Linked DNA regions of Rattus norvegicus. The protein of the gene in region 2 interacts with the protein of the main gene of each other region in a pairwise test. Links are inferred from orthologs where the notes say so. Each region holds a gene or a part of one and is shown on either strand. Other genes may lie near its edges.

The links.
Region 1: the proteins of Mapk1ip1l (region 2) and Dazap2 interact in binary tests that used the Homo sapiens proteins (3 or more experiments, as listed by UniProt). The link is inferred for Rattus norvegicus from reciprocal best matches to the Homo sapiens genes MAPK1IP1L and DAZAP2.
Region 3: the proteins of Mapk1ip1l (region 2) and Ss18l1 interact in binary tests that used the Homo sapiens proteins (3 or more experiments, as listed by UniProt). The two-hybrid records come from large-scale screens. The link is inferred for Rattus norvegicus from reciprocal best matches to the Homo sapiens genes MAPK1IP1L and SS18L1.

What each region holds. Positions count from the first base shown.
Region 1 is NC_086025.1:133,592,325-133,596,336, forward strand, and holds the start of Dazap2 (DAZ-associated protein 2), read left to right. Parts: upstream 1-1,212; 5' UTR 1,213-1,322; intron 1,323-1,377; exon of another isoform or gene 1,378-1,446; 5' UTR 1,447-1,611; coding exon 1,612-1,624; intron 1,625-2,772; coding exon 2,773-2,891; intron 2,892-3,576; coding exon 3,577-3,822; intron 3,823-4,012. UniProt on the Homo sapiens protein: In unstressed cells, promotes SIAH1-mediated polyubiquitination and degradation of the serine/threonine-protein kinase HIPK2, probably by acting as a loading factor that potentiates complex formation between HIPK2 and ubiquitin ligase SIAH1.
Region 2 is NC_086033.1:23,034,768-23,038,267, reverse strand, and holds part of Mapk1ip1l (MAPK-interacting and spindle-stabilizing protein-like), read right to left. Parts: intron 3,373-3,500; 5' UTR 3,369-3,372; coding exon 3,351-3,368; intron 1,822-3,350; coding exon 1,132-1,821; intron 1-1,131.
Region 3 is NC_086021.1:187,520,156-187,524,415, forward strand, and holds the start of Ss18l1 (calcium-responsive transcription coactivator), read left to right. Parts: upstream 1-1,460; 5' UTR 1,461-1,468; coding exon 1,469-1,537; intron 1,538-1,921; exon of another isoform or gene 1,922-2,117; intron 2,118-4,260. Other genes in the region: Psma7 (proteasome subunit alpha type-7), read right to left, coding at 933-1,028. UniProt on the Homo sapiens protein: Transcriptional activator which is required for calcium-dependent dendritic growth and branching in cortical neurons. Recruits CREB-binding protein (CREBBP) to nuclear bodies.

The sequences.
Region 1 (4,012 bases), on a different chromosome or scaffold from region 2:
GAGATCAGTTTTTCTTTTCTTCTCAAATGTTTATTTTTGTGTCTGCGTGAACCTACGACACGCATGCGCAGGTGGTCCCCAGGATGAACCAGATCAGCCTCTGGAAGAGCATAAGTGTTCTTGACCACTGAGCCTCCCCACCAGCCCCATCAGTGTTCTGTTGGAGAAGCAGGGATGCTCAGATAAGCCCGCTTGCCTCTCGGGCTGCTGTGTGGGACTGGATGAAACTGCATTTACAGGACGCCTTGCAAACTGTGATAGTCACCTGACACACAAGCAAGGCCTTCTTGGTGTTGGACGAATCCAGAATCCGTTCACCGAGGGCCTCTCGCTCCAGAGCCTCTCCGTCTCCTTGAGCGCGCACAACACAACTTCTGCAGACAGCTGCGTCGGTTCCTCACTCTGTGCGTGCCCATGAGGAAACGGGAAAAGTGTAATCACGGTCCTAAGAGACGTCGCCTCTACCCTTCAGGACAACTGGGAGTGGGCTAAGGCACACACAACGTCTGTAGGAGACTACAGGCCCCCTTAGGACGTGCCAGGCCAGGGTCAGCCTGCGCGGGGCACGGTCCATCTCAGGGCAGGAGCTTGATGCGGTGTCATGGTTTGTATCAGGGCGCCAAGCAGGGCGCGGGGACACGGTCTACCTCCGCACGGATCCGGGCGCGGGGGCAAGGTCACCGACCCCGGGCGCTGGACCGTCAATAGGAGGCCTGGAAGAACCGGAACGCGGGACAGGCTAGGATCTGAGGTCCAGAGGTGGCTCAGAGCAAGGGCGCCGCCCTAAGACAAGCCCTCTACGAACTTCAGGGCCCGGTGTGAGGGGTGGGCGGGGCACTGGTGAAGGCGGGGCATGCGGGGAGGAAGGGCTCGCGGTGAGGAGGAGGTGCGCGGTGAGGGCGGGGCCACGCAGGGAGGGCAAGGAGGGCGGGGCTACACGATGAGGGCGGGGAGCGCGGTCAGGGCGGGGCCACGCAGGTATGAGGGGCACGGGGTGAGGTGGGGCCGCGCAGGGAGAGCGGGGACCCCGGGGAGCGTGGGGAGGGCGGAGTCACGCAGGAATGAGGAGCTTGGGGTGAGGGCGGGACCACTCAGGGAGGGCGGAGTCACGCAGGGAGGGCGGGGCATGCGGTGAGGGAGGGGAGCGCGGTTTGGGCGGGGCCGCGCGGGAGAGCGGTGTGGGCGAGGAGGGCGGGGCCACGCAGAGGATAGCGGGCACCGGGTGAGGCGAGGCCGCGCAGGAAGAGCGGGGAACCCGGGGAGCGCGAGGAGGGCGGAGCCACGCAGGAAGGGCAGGGCATGAGTTGAGCCTAAAGCGCGAGGTGAGGGGGAAACCGCGCAGGGAGGGCGGGGCCGCGCGGGAAGGAGCTGCGCGAGGTGAGAGCAGAGCGCGCAGGGAGGGCGGGGCACCCGAGAAAGGCGGGGCTGTAAGCGCCCTCCTTGCAGCGACTGGCGGGCCTGCGAGGGGGCGGGGTTTCCGGCGGCAGTGCACTCGGGCATCGACTGACGCAGAGTGGACGGGCGTCACGTGACACGGAAGTGACTCCGAACAGGAAGAGGACGAGAAAAATAACCGTCCGCGACGCCGAGTGGAAGTGGATTAGAGCCACCATGAACAGCAAAGGCAAGGCCGGGAAGCGGCGGAGGTCGTCGGGGACGCGGGCGGGTTCGGGTCGAGTGGGCCCGGGGGCGGCGGGCTCGGGGCGGTCAGGGCCGCTCTCCTCAGCAGGCCGCGGAGCGGGGCCGCACCTGACGTGTCCGCCCCCCCTCCCCCACACACCGCAGCAACTCGGCTCTCCGGGCCCCGGCCCCATAAACTCTGTGGCGCAGTTTGGAGCCGCGGGCTCCAGTGTGTGAGGTGGGGGTGTTTTTCCGTGACTGACACCGGCTGGAGCGAATGGGGAGCTAGAGCAGGGATTTGGGTAGGCCAATGGAGGACCGGCAGAGGCGGGGCGCCGCGCTTCGGAACAACAGGCCTTGGCCGAGCTTAACTCGTGAGGTGCCGGCTCTGCTGCCCAGTCCCGGCCTTCAAGGATCCTTTCCCGCCTGCCTTCGACTTTTCGCGCTCCCTCCTCAGGGCCAGGATTTATAGTCGTGCCTGTGCTAATGTTTGTCAGACCATGGTCGCGTTTACCTCCCGCCCCCAGCCGCCGCCCTTCTCATGGTTAACTTCCATTCACTCACTCTTTGGAAGTCGACCTTGAGTAGGAACCAACCCGTGAGGTAACACGCAGAACCGTGGGTTCCACAGAGTCTGCACTGGTTACCGCACAGTCCGTGGGAGACTACCCGGACTAGAAGTCCCCCCAAAACACCAGCAATCCAGAATCCCCGGCACGGGTTCTCAGACCTGTCCTTTATTTGGGAGGGAACGGGGCCAAGTTACACTTGATTCCTCCATCAGTATGCTAGTGGGAACAGCGCCTTCTGCCCAGTCAGAACCCAGCACCTTCCACTGTGAGGGTGCAGAGACAATCTTTTATTTTCTTGGCTCTAAGAGCTAAGGCCCTGTGGGGCAATCTGTTTGCAATTCTTCTGCTTGAGCTCACCAAGTTAACTGCCCGTTTTACAAATTTTTTTTATTGTCTGTGAATGTGAGGGTAGGTGCCCACAAAGACAGAAGCTAGAGTTGAAAAGAGGTTGTGTCAGATGTGGATGCTGGGAACAGAACTTGGGTCCTCAGGAAGAGTGGCATTTTGTCAGGAGCATCTTTCCTATTTGCCACCTCCCTAATTTGATAGACAACATCTCTCTTCCCCTTTTGTATTCCAGGTCAATATCCAACACAGCCTACCTACCCTGTGCAGCCTCCTGGGAATCCAGTATATCCTCAGACCTTACATCTTCCTCAGGCTCCACCCTATACTGATGCTCCACCTGCATACTCAGAGGTACTGCACTTTGCTAGACTTTTAACTATTTGAATACACTCTTGGACCCCTCCCCCATTGTTAAATCTTCAAATTCAGAAGCAGAGAATGCTCTATGAACCGTCTAAAACATAAGTTAATAATTACCATTGGAATTGAACGCATTATCTGCTTGTTATTTGACATGCTGAGTTAGGCTGAGTTTGGGTCCCTTGAGCCCAGTAGTAGCTGTGGATGCAAATGACCCAGAAACTGTGTGCCAGTGACAGTAACCAGTGTGATCCACACACACAAGAACTGAGAATGGACTCATGAGCCATGCGTGGTGGTAAGACCAGTAGTCTCAGCACACGGAAGGCTCAGGCAGGAGGAGCTTGAGGTCAAGACTGTCTTGGGCTATAGAACCAAACCCCATTTCCAAAACAAAACAAGGGGCTGGGGATGTAGTTGATTTGGTAGAGTGCTTGCTTAGCATGCACCAAGCCCTGGATTTGGTCTCCAGCCCAATGTGAGCTGGATTTGGTGGTGCAGGCTTTTATTTCCATCAGTCAAGAGGTCAAGGCAGGAGAGTCAGGAGTTGAAGGTCATCCACTCCTACATTCTTGCAGGCTAGCCTGAAGTACAGGAGATGGTCTCAGCAATACTTAGAGGAATTTCAAATACCAGTGTCACAGAAATATTTTGCCTTCTCTTCTGCTTCTTTTAGCTCTATCGTCCAAGCTTTGTTCATCCAGGGGCTGCCACAGTCCCCACCATGTCAGCTGCATTTCCTGGCGCCTCGTTGTATCTGCCTATGGCCCAGTCTGTGGCTGTTGGGCCTTTAGGCTCCACGATCCCCATGGCTTATTACCCAGTTGGTCCCATCTATCCACCTGGCTCGGCAGTGCTGGTGGAAGGAGGGTACGATGCAGGTGCCAGATTTGGAGCTGGTGCCACCACTGGCAGCATTCCTGTGAGTATGCCTAACCAAGAGCTCAGCCCTCGTGCACTTGAACCGTCTGAAATGACTTCATACTCATTCTCCTACCATCCCAGGGTAGTAGTAGTCAGGACTGGCACAGCTGCTGCCCTCTCATGACAGAAATGTGGCTGGGCCAATCAGGGCATTGGGCACAGTCCTTAGAGTTAATCAGATTCATTTG
Region 2 (3,500 bases):
TATAATGCTACCAGTTTAGCACCCGCATTATTTAGTAATATACAGAGGTAGGAAGGGAGGAGGCAGTATGGCTTAGTAGTCAGTTCTGGTTCAAACTTTGGGAGTCTGATGCTGAATAGTTTATTTTAGGCACATTTAAGCACAGCACAACTTGGTGAAATTTTCCTAAAAATAAATAACTCAATCCCATGTGCACAATAAAGCTAAGGACATAACTACATTGAAACTCTGTTAAGTACACCCATTTTCCATAAAGATGCATTCTATAGATTGACAAGTTCACCGTAAGTGTCTGGGGAGGGCTCAGGGTGGTCTTGGCCACACAGACAGCACAAAGGTCACCAGTTATTAACCACATCTACTCCCAGTCTTCTGGGAGGAAACAGGTTATACATCTCCTCCTTAGAGGAGACAACCCTGTGTGTTTAACATTCCTGGTTCCCCTTTGTGTTATCTGTGAGCACAAAGACCTCCATACTTCTGACATATAATCAGTATGTGTAGTTACTGACTCTTGGTGGTGGCTTAAAATAAACTTATTATGTTACTTATTGTGACACACTTTGCAAACATTTTTTTTTTTTTGAGGAAAGAACATGCATCTATCAAGAAGCTATACTAATAAAATCTCGGAGGACACCTCATTAGGAATGTTTCTCTTTACTGCTGAGACAGATGGGTTATTTAATTACTCAGTGTGGACATCTGCTTAGCTACCTGATGATGGGAGTAACAGACTGCTTTAGAATAGTGGCCGGCTCTAAAGTCCCAGGGAGACCTGTGTGAGATGGGCAATGTGTCCCCATGTCCTCTCCACAACTCAGACAAGCTTGTTCTTAAGCGGCAGGCACATCAGCATGATGCAGTAAAAGGACAAAGGATTTGTAGAACAGCCCATGGCACGCGCACTTTAGTCACCTAAGGGTGCGAGGAGCACAGTGCGGTGTCCTTAGGCTCTTCCTTTTCTATCTTCTGCCCTTTGAAATGCCACACCTCACCTGAACGTCTCACATTTACTCAGTTTATAGATCACACCCTTTTAAGTACTGTATTAGAAGGTCTCTATTCCCAATGACCTTTGGTTGAGCCAGCATGACTCTGACTGCACAGGTAATAACAAGCAACACTTACGTGGGGGCCACCAGGCATTGGCGGAGCACCAGCAGGTCCTGAAGGCACTTGGTAAGGATTATTCAGAGTAGGGTGGGGTCCTGGCGTGGGGTATGATCCTGCGGGGCCAGGATATGGTGCTGGTGGTCCCCAGGCTCCCGGTGGCACAGTGCCCCACGGAACAGGCGGTGCTCCCGACACTGGAGGAGGAACAGTGGGGTATGGCCCTGGAGATCGATACGGCATATTAGGATGCTGCCCCGCAATTCCTGGTGCCCAAGGTCCAGAAGAGATGGATCCCCATGGACCTAAAGTACCAGCTGCAGCTGGATCTGTGGGCGCACCGTATGGCCTAGGTAGCTCTGGAAGGGGCATATTTGGTGTAGCGTATGGCCCTGTGGGGCCAGGGCCTGGCACAGCAGGGGCTGGATAAGGAACACCAGGTGGGGGACATGATGGTCCAGAAGGAGGAAAGGGTCCTGGGGGTGGTCCGGCTGGAGGCATGGAGGGATACATTCCTGTTGGTACTGGTCCAAAAGGCACAGTAGAGGGTGCTGCACTACTCGGTGGGAGTCCAGACGGCATTGCAGGGGGGGCGCTTGGATTACTCCAAGGGCTGGAGCCTGGCCAGCCCTGAGGAGAATGGCCAGCTTTTGTGTTGGTCACAGCAGGCGTTTTGGCAGAGGACTGTTCAGGTAGCGCATCTGCCAACTGTAACACAAAATGGGTGAGCGTCAGCTCTCTTCCCCAGCGGTGAGTCAAACCAAACACGATGATAATCCCATACAAACCATGCACAATACCTAGGGATCGCAAGCCTCTACTCATCTGAGGACCTCCTCTTAAAGACCTTGAGATGTTACCTCACACATTAAAACACATTCTTTTTGAGAAGGTTTCATTGTAGCCCAGGCTGACCCTGAACTTTAAAAACAACTTATTTGTATTTATTCTGTGCATGGTGGTTGGTTTGTTTTGCCAACTTGATGTAAGTTGGAATCATCTGGGAAGAGTGAACTTCAATTAAGAAAATGCTTCTACTAGACTGGTGGCCTGCAGGCAAACCCTGGGTATTTTTGTGATTAATGTCCACTGTGGGAGGCATCATGCCTGGAAAGGTAGTTCTGGGAGATTCCTTAACAAAGGAAGCTAAATGTGCCTCCGAGAAGAAGCCAGGGTTCCTCCAAGGCTGATGTTCTAGTCCCGGACTCCAGACCTTGCCCTGAGTTCTGCCCTGGCTCGGCGTCATGATGGACTACAACCTGTGGGATGAAGCCGACCCTTTCTCTCCTACGTTGCTGTTGGCCATGCATCACAGCACCAGAAAGCAGGCTAAAACCATGTGCCTCCATGCATTTAAACGCAGCACATGCATGCCTGGTGCTGGCAGAGGCTAAGGCGGTTTAGGTCTCCTGGAACTGGAATTACAGGTGATTATGAGCCCCCTGAAGTATAGCGGGGCCCAAACTCAGATTCCTGGAAGAGCACCAAGTACTCTTAACCACTGAGACATCTCTCTAGCCCCAGCCGTAAATTTGTAATCCTGCTGCCTCTACCTCTCAAGTGCTGAGATTATAGGCATGTACCATGCCACTATGTCTGGCTGATAACTCTCAATAAATGTGCAAGGTAACATCTCAAGGTCTTTAAGAGGAGGTTCTCAGATGAATAGAGGCTTGTGATCCCTGGGTATTAGGATTCTAATATTACTGCCAGACAAAGAGAAAAATAACAAAAAATTTCATTAAAGACTATAACCATGCCTAGATACTTTACAACCAATGATCCCCCTCCCCCCCGTGTGTGTGTGTGCAGAGACATAGGCAAATCACTTGTCAAGGTCATGTCTAGTGGCTGGCGGGATGGTCCCACTTGTAATTCTAGCTTTATGGGATCCAACACATGGTCTCCCTCTAAGGTCACCTGCACACTAACACACATACATAAAAATAATTCTCAAAGTCATACACCTAAGAAGTCCAAGCATGTATCCTTTTAAGAAAAAAAAAAAAAAAAAGGATGGGGATGGTTTACAGTAAAAACTATGCTTTAAAAGTTTTTTCTCTATTCATAAGGAGAGCGGGTCGGGTCTCACTGTATAGCTCAGGCTTGCCTGGAACTCACACTCTTCCTACCCCAACCTCTATAGGGCTGACAACATTACAAGCATGCTCCACTTTTCTCGCCAGAACTAGGCTTTCCATTACAAACAAACAAACACTTAGCAAGGTTCAACTTACCGAAAATTCATCTGACATTTTCCTAAAAAAAAAAAAAAAAAAAAGTCAAAATTAGTGTTTATACTTTCTTATACGTTTTAGAAGGGTTTTATTTTACATTTTACTTACATGGAGTGTCTCTGTGTAGCCCTAGCTGTCCTGAAACTCTCT
Region 3 (4,260 bases), on a different chromosome or scaffold from region 2:
GGCTGCTCTTCCAGAAGACCCCAGGTTCAATTCCCAGCACCCACATGGCGACTCCAGTTCCAGGGAATCTGACGCCCTCACACAGACATATATGTAGACAAAATGCCAAATGCACATAAAAATAACTTTTAAAAAAACACGTTAATAATGCACACATACACACAAGCACAAAGAGGGTCTTTAATTTTAGAAGCCCAAGCTGGTTTTGTACTTGTAAGATTTTCGAGCCTCCTCAACCTTCTAAATGCCAGAAGTATATAGGCCTGCACTTCCAAGCCTGGTCATTCCAGAGTTCTTGGGTTCTTGCAAGCGCTTCAAGACTCGGAACCACGTGTGTTCCCGAAGATCCGGTGACTCCGGAAAAACCAAAACCAAAACCAAAACTGTCTCACTGCTGACTCTTGCAGGTGTGAGGCAGCCCCTTTCCAAATAGCGATAAGGTCTTTGAACAAAACCGGGGGCGCGGTGAAAGGGGCCCACCGGAACCAGAACGCAGCGTCGATGGCGCAGGCGGACCCGGAAGCAGCCTGTCACCATCGCAGGGACCATGAACCGCCCTTTGTTCATCCATAACGCCTAGCTCGCAAATCCAAAAGTCCCTACCGGCGCCGGATACAGCCAGCCTCCCGCTGCCCGCGCGCACCTGCGGCCTCCGCCGTCCGCGCCGCGCACACAGCACCAAGATGGCCCCGGCCCAGCCCCGGGGATGCGCTCGCCTAGACGCTCCGCAGTGGGAAAGACAGGCAAAGTCGCTCGGCTCTCTAGGGAGCGCGGCGCAGGCCCCGCGGCACGGCGCCCTTCCTACGTCGTCACCGTTCAGCTCCCGTCACCTCCCGTCCACCCGCCGCCAGCAGATAGCACGGCCTCCAGGCCCTGGTCTCCGTGCCCCGCTTCCTTTTGCACCCCGCCACGCAGGCCCCCGGCCGGCTCACCGCGGTGGAGCCCTTCTTGACCGCCTCCTGCGCGTACTCCACTTGGAAGAGGTGGCCGTCGGGCGAGAAGACGGTGATGGCGCGGTCGTAGCTCATCACTGCGGACGCGCGAGCTCAAGCCGCCGCCGCTCAAAAGCGCACACTCACCTTCAGCGCCCCGCCCGCCCGGGCCACGCTGCTGGCGTCTGCAGCGTCCGGCGTCAGGGGGACGTGCGGCGCGGCGCGGCGGGGCGGGGCAGGGCGGGCGGAACCACCGAAACCCAGCACAGGGGGCAGCGTAGCGGCAACCTGCTGGAGGCAGAGCGGAGGCCGGTTGTAGGGGGGCTCCGCACGGGATCCGGTCCCGGGAGGCAATCGAATAAGGCGCGGGGACGCGGGGGCCTCGAGCGCGCATTGGCGATAGGCAGGCGGGCGAGCCCACGGCACCGCGCCCCCCGCGCCCCCGCCCCCGCGCTGCGGAGAATGGGCACCTCGGGCCGCGGGGCGCAGCCGGAGAATAAACCCCAATGATCACGGGCTGAGTCCGCACCACCACCATGTCCGTGGCCTTCGCGTCGGCGCGGCCGAGAGGCAAAGGGGAGGTCACTCAGCAGACCATCCAGAAGGTGGGCAAGGCCGAGGGGGTACAGAGTGCGGGTGGGCGCGGGACAGGAACAAAGCCGGGGCACAGCCCGCTGCACGGAGCCCTGACGGCGGCTCCGCGCGCCCCCTGGAAAGCCTGCGCCAACTTTGCCGGAGGCATTGGCAGCGGGGGCCAGGCGGCCGCAGTGGGTGGGGACCCTGAAGCACGTCGCGCGGTGTCCTCCGAGAGCGCCCCAGGCAGCAGACGCGGCAGTGCGAGACGCCGGGGCCCGCGGCCCCTCCAGCGGGGCGGGGGCTCGTCGCGCTCCGCTGACAGTCCTGGTAGCGACGGTCGCGCGCCTTTGCGCGCAGCTTGGCGAGTGGAGAAGGGGGCGCAGGCAGCCTGGAGGCACGCCGCTGCGGCGAGCTGGCGGCTCTCGTGAGGTACTGCGGTGCCCTGCACAAAGGGATGCATCCAAAGTGTGCGTGCCATCCCCAGGGCCTGCACCGCTGTCCGAAGCTTGCTGCCCGCGGCGGACCTGAGGCCAGCGCAGCCCCGCCCACGCTTGGGCCGCTGGGCATCAGCGAGCCTCGCCTCCTGCACCCTGGCTTCAGACACCGCAGGTTTGTCCTGCAGTCTCTCTCATCCTTTAGTTTGGGCCAGTTTCCCATAGAAGGCGTTTGCGTGGGTTTGTGGGACGTCTTTAACAAAAGGAAGTTTCAAGTTTTGACATAGACACTTTAGCTTTTTACTGTTTGCCTTCGCTGTTCTGAGCTTCTTGCGCGCCGGCTTTTAATTCTGGTTCCTTCTACAGAATTCCTGAATTCCCTTGAGCCAGTTAGGTCCCTAAGGGCATTGGCCTTTCTACTCCCTCATGACCCGAGAGGCTTGTGGGGATTTCCTTCACTTGTCGCCTGTTTCCCAGGTCACCCTTGCTGTCTCCTTAGGTATATAGTGGTTATCACAGTTGGCAAGCCCTAGTCAGGGGAGATTATTGGAGCAGAGCAGAAATACAGGTTTTGTACTTCTTGCCACATTTAACTTTTTGCAGAAGTGACTTAGTGAAGGAGGCTGAGACTGCACAGGCTACGTGGGAGAGCTAATAGTAGCCCTTCCGTGTGACTCCATAGGCTGCTGTTCCTTTGGAAGTGGGTCTTCAGTTCAAGGTCCTTGACCCGGTAGGGCTGTGCGATCCACTTCCTGTCTCTGTGAATCCTTTACTGAGAAGGCTCGAGGGGATGTGTACTCTGACCTGTCTTGGTGATGTAATCACATTCTGAAGCAAGTGCTACAAGATGGAAAGTTTAGGGACAACCTGAGCTACATGACAAAGTCCAAGGGCAGCTGAAGCTGCATAGCAAGATCCTGCATGGAAGCCAAGGTCTAGGGATGTGTCTTAGTAGAAAGACTCTTTTTTTTAATTTTTTTATTTTTTAATTTTTTTTTGGAGCTGGGGATCGAACCCAGGACCTTGCGTTTGCTAGGCAAACGCTCTACCACTGAGCTAAATCCCCAACCCCAGTAGTAAGACTCTTGTTTAGCACACAAAGCGTTAAACTATACACACACACACACACACACACACACACACACACACACCCCACACAGGGCTATGTATGTATCTTAGTAAAACTCTTGTCTAGCATGAAAAACCCTAAACTACACGCACGCACGCACACAGGCACGCACACACGCTAACCAGCCCCTGCTAAGACCACTGGGGAGAGCCAGGGATTTGGGAGAAGGCTGGTCAGTGGTCAAAGCAAACAAAGTAACAGCTTGTTTTGGGAGGACAGATCCTGCTCAATCTTCAGAGCACCGCAGAACAACCTCTCCTTAATCTTCTCTTGAGAGACACAAGGCCATTGTAGGACTTTGAGGCATTGTCGGTGGCATACAAGTGAGTTAGCATGTACTGAGGTAGCCTTTGCTGGTCCCTAGTCTTGCATGGTACACCCTGTATACTATAGAATCTATAGCACAGGTTCTGCCTAAGCGGATATATCCGTGCCCCTTAACTCTCTGACTCGCCACAACCCAGGTGATATTAGACAACCGTCTTCATTCGCTCACACTGCTGAGGTGTGAGCAGTGGCTGCCTCCCTTCCCTCCTGAAGTTCCAGAGGAGGCTACCTCATACCTTCTCAACTTCACGTGGCTGCCACAGCCTTTGGTGTCCTTCGGTCTGCAATGAGATCTCTGTTTTCCTCTTCTGGGATCTCCTTGCCTGTTTTTCTACCTCTTCTTATAAGGATAATGATAACGTTTCTTTGCAAATAGACTTCTTTCCAAGTTGAGTGGCTTTCTGCAGAAGCAAGGGTGTAAAGTCAGGGAGTTTGGGCAGGCAATGGGTAGTTCTACATGTGGCCCTGCAGGGAGTGGGGACCCAGAGTGGAAGCCTGGAGAGCTGGCCTGACCTGGAGCAAGTGAGCTTGCGGTGACAGCACTGGCACCGGAGAGGGATGGAGTCAGAACTGTGCTTTTGTGTGGACAGTGTGGGTGCCTGGGATCCTGAGATGTCTGCAGCTGGCAGAGACACCACTGACCAAGGACCAAATCTGTCTTCCTCTGTACTAGCTAAGGGCCATAGTATACCAATGTCCAGCACTATGCTCCTGCCTATAAGAAGGCCCACTGGACGCCCCCTGCTGTTTCATACAACAATTACACAGTGAAAGTCATGTGTCTCTGTTGCTGATTATATTGGCTTTTTTTTTTATTCTTAAGTACATACATGGATACATGTGACACGGTGTACAGGCAGAG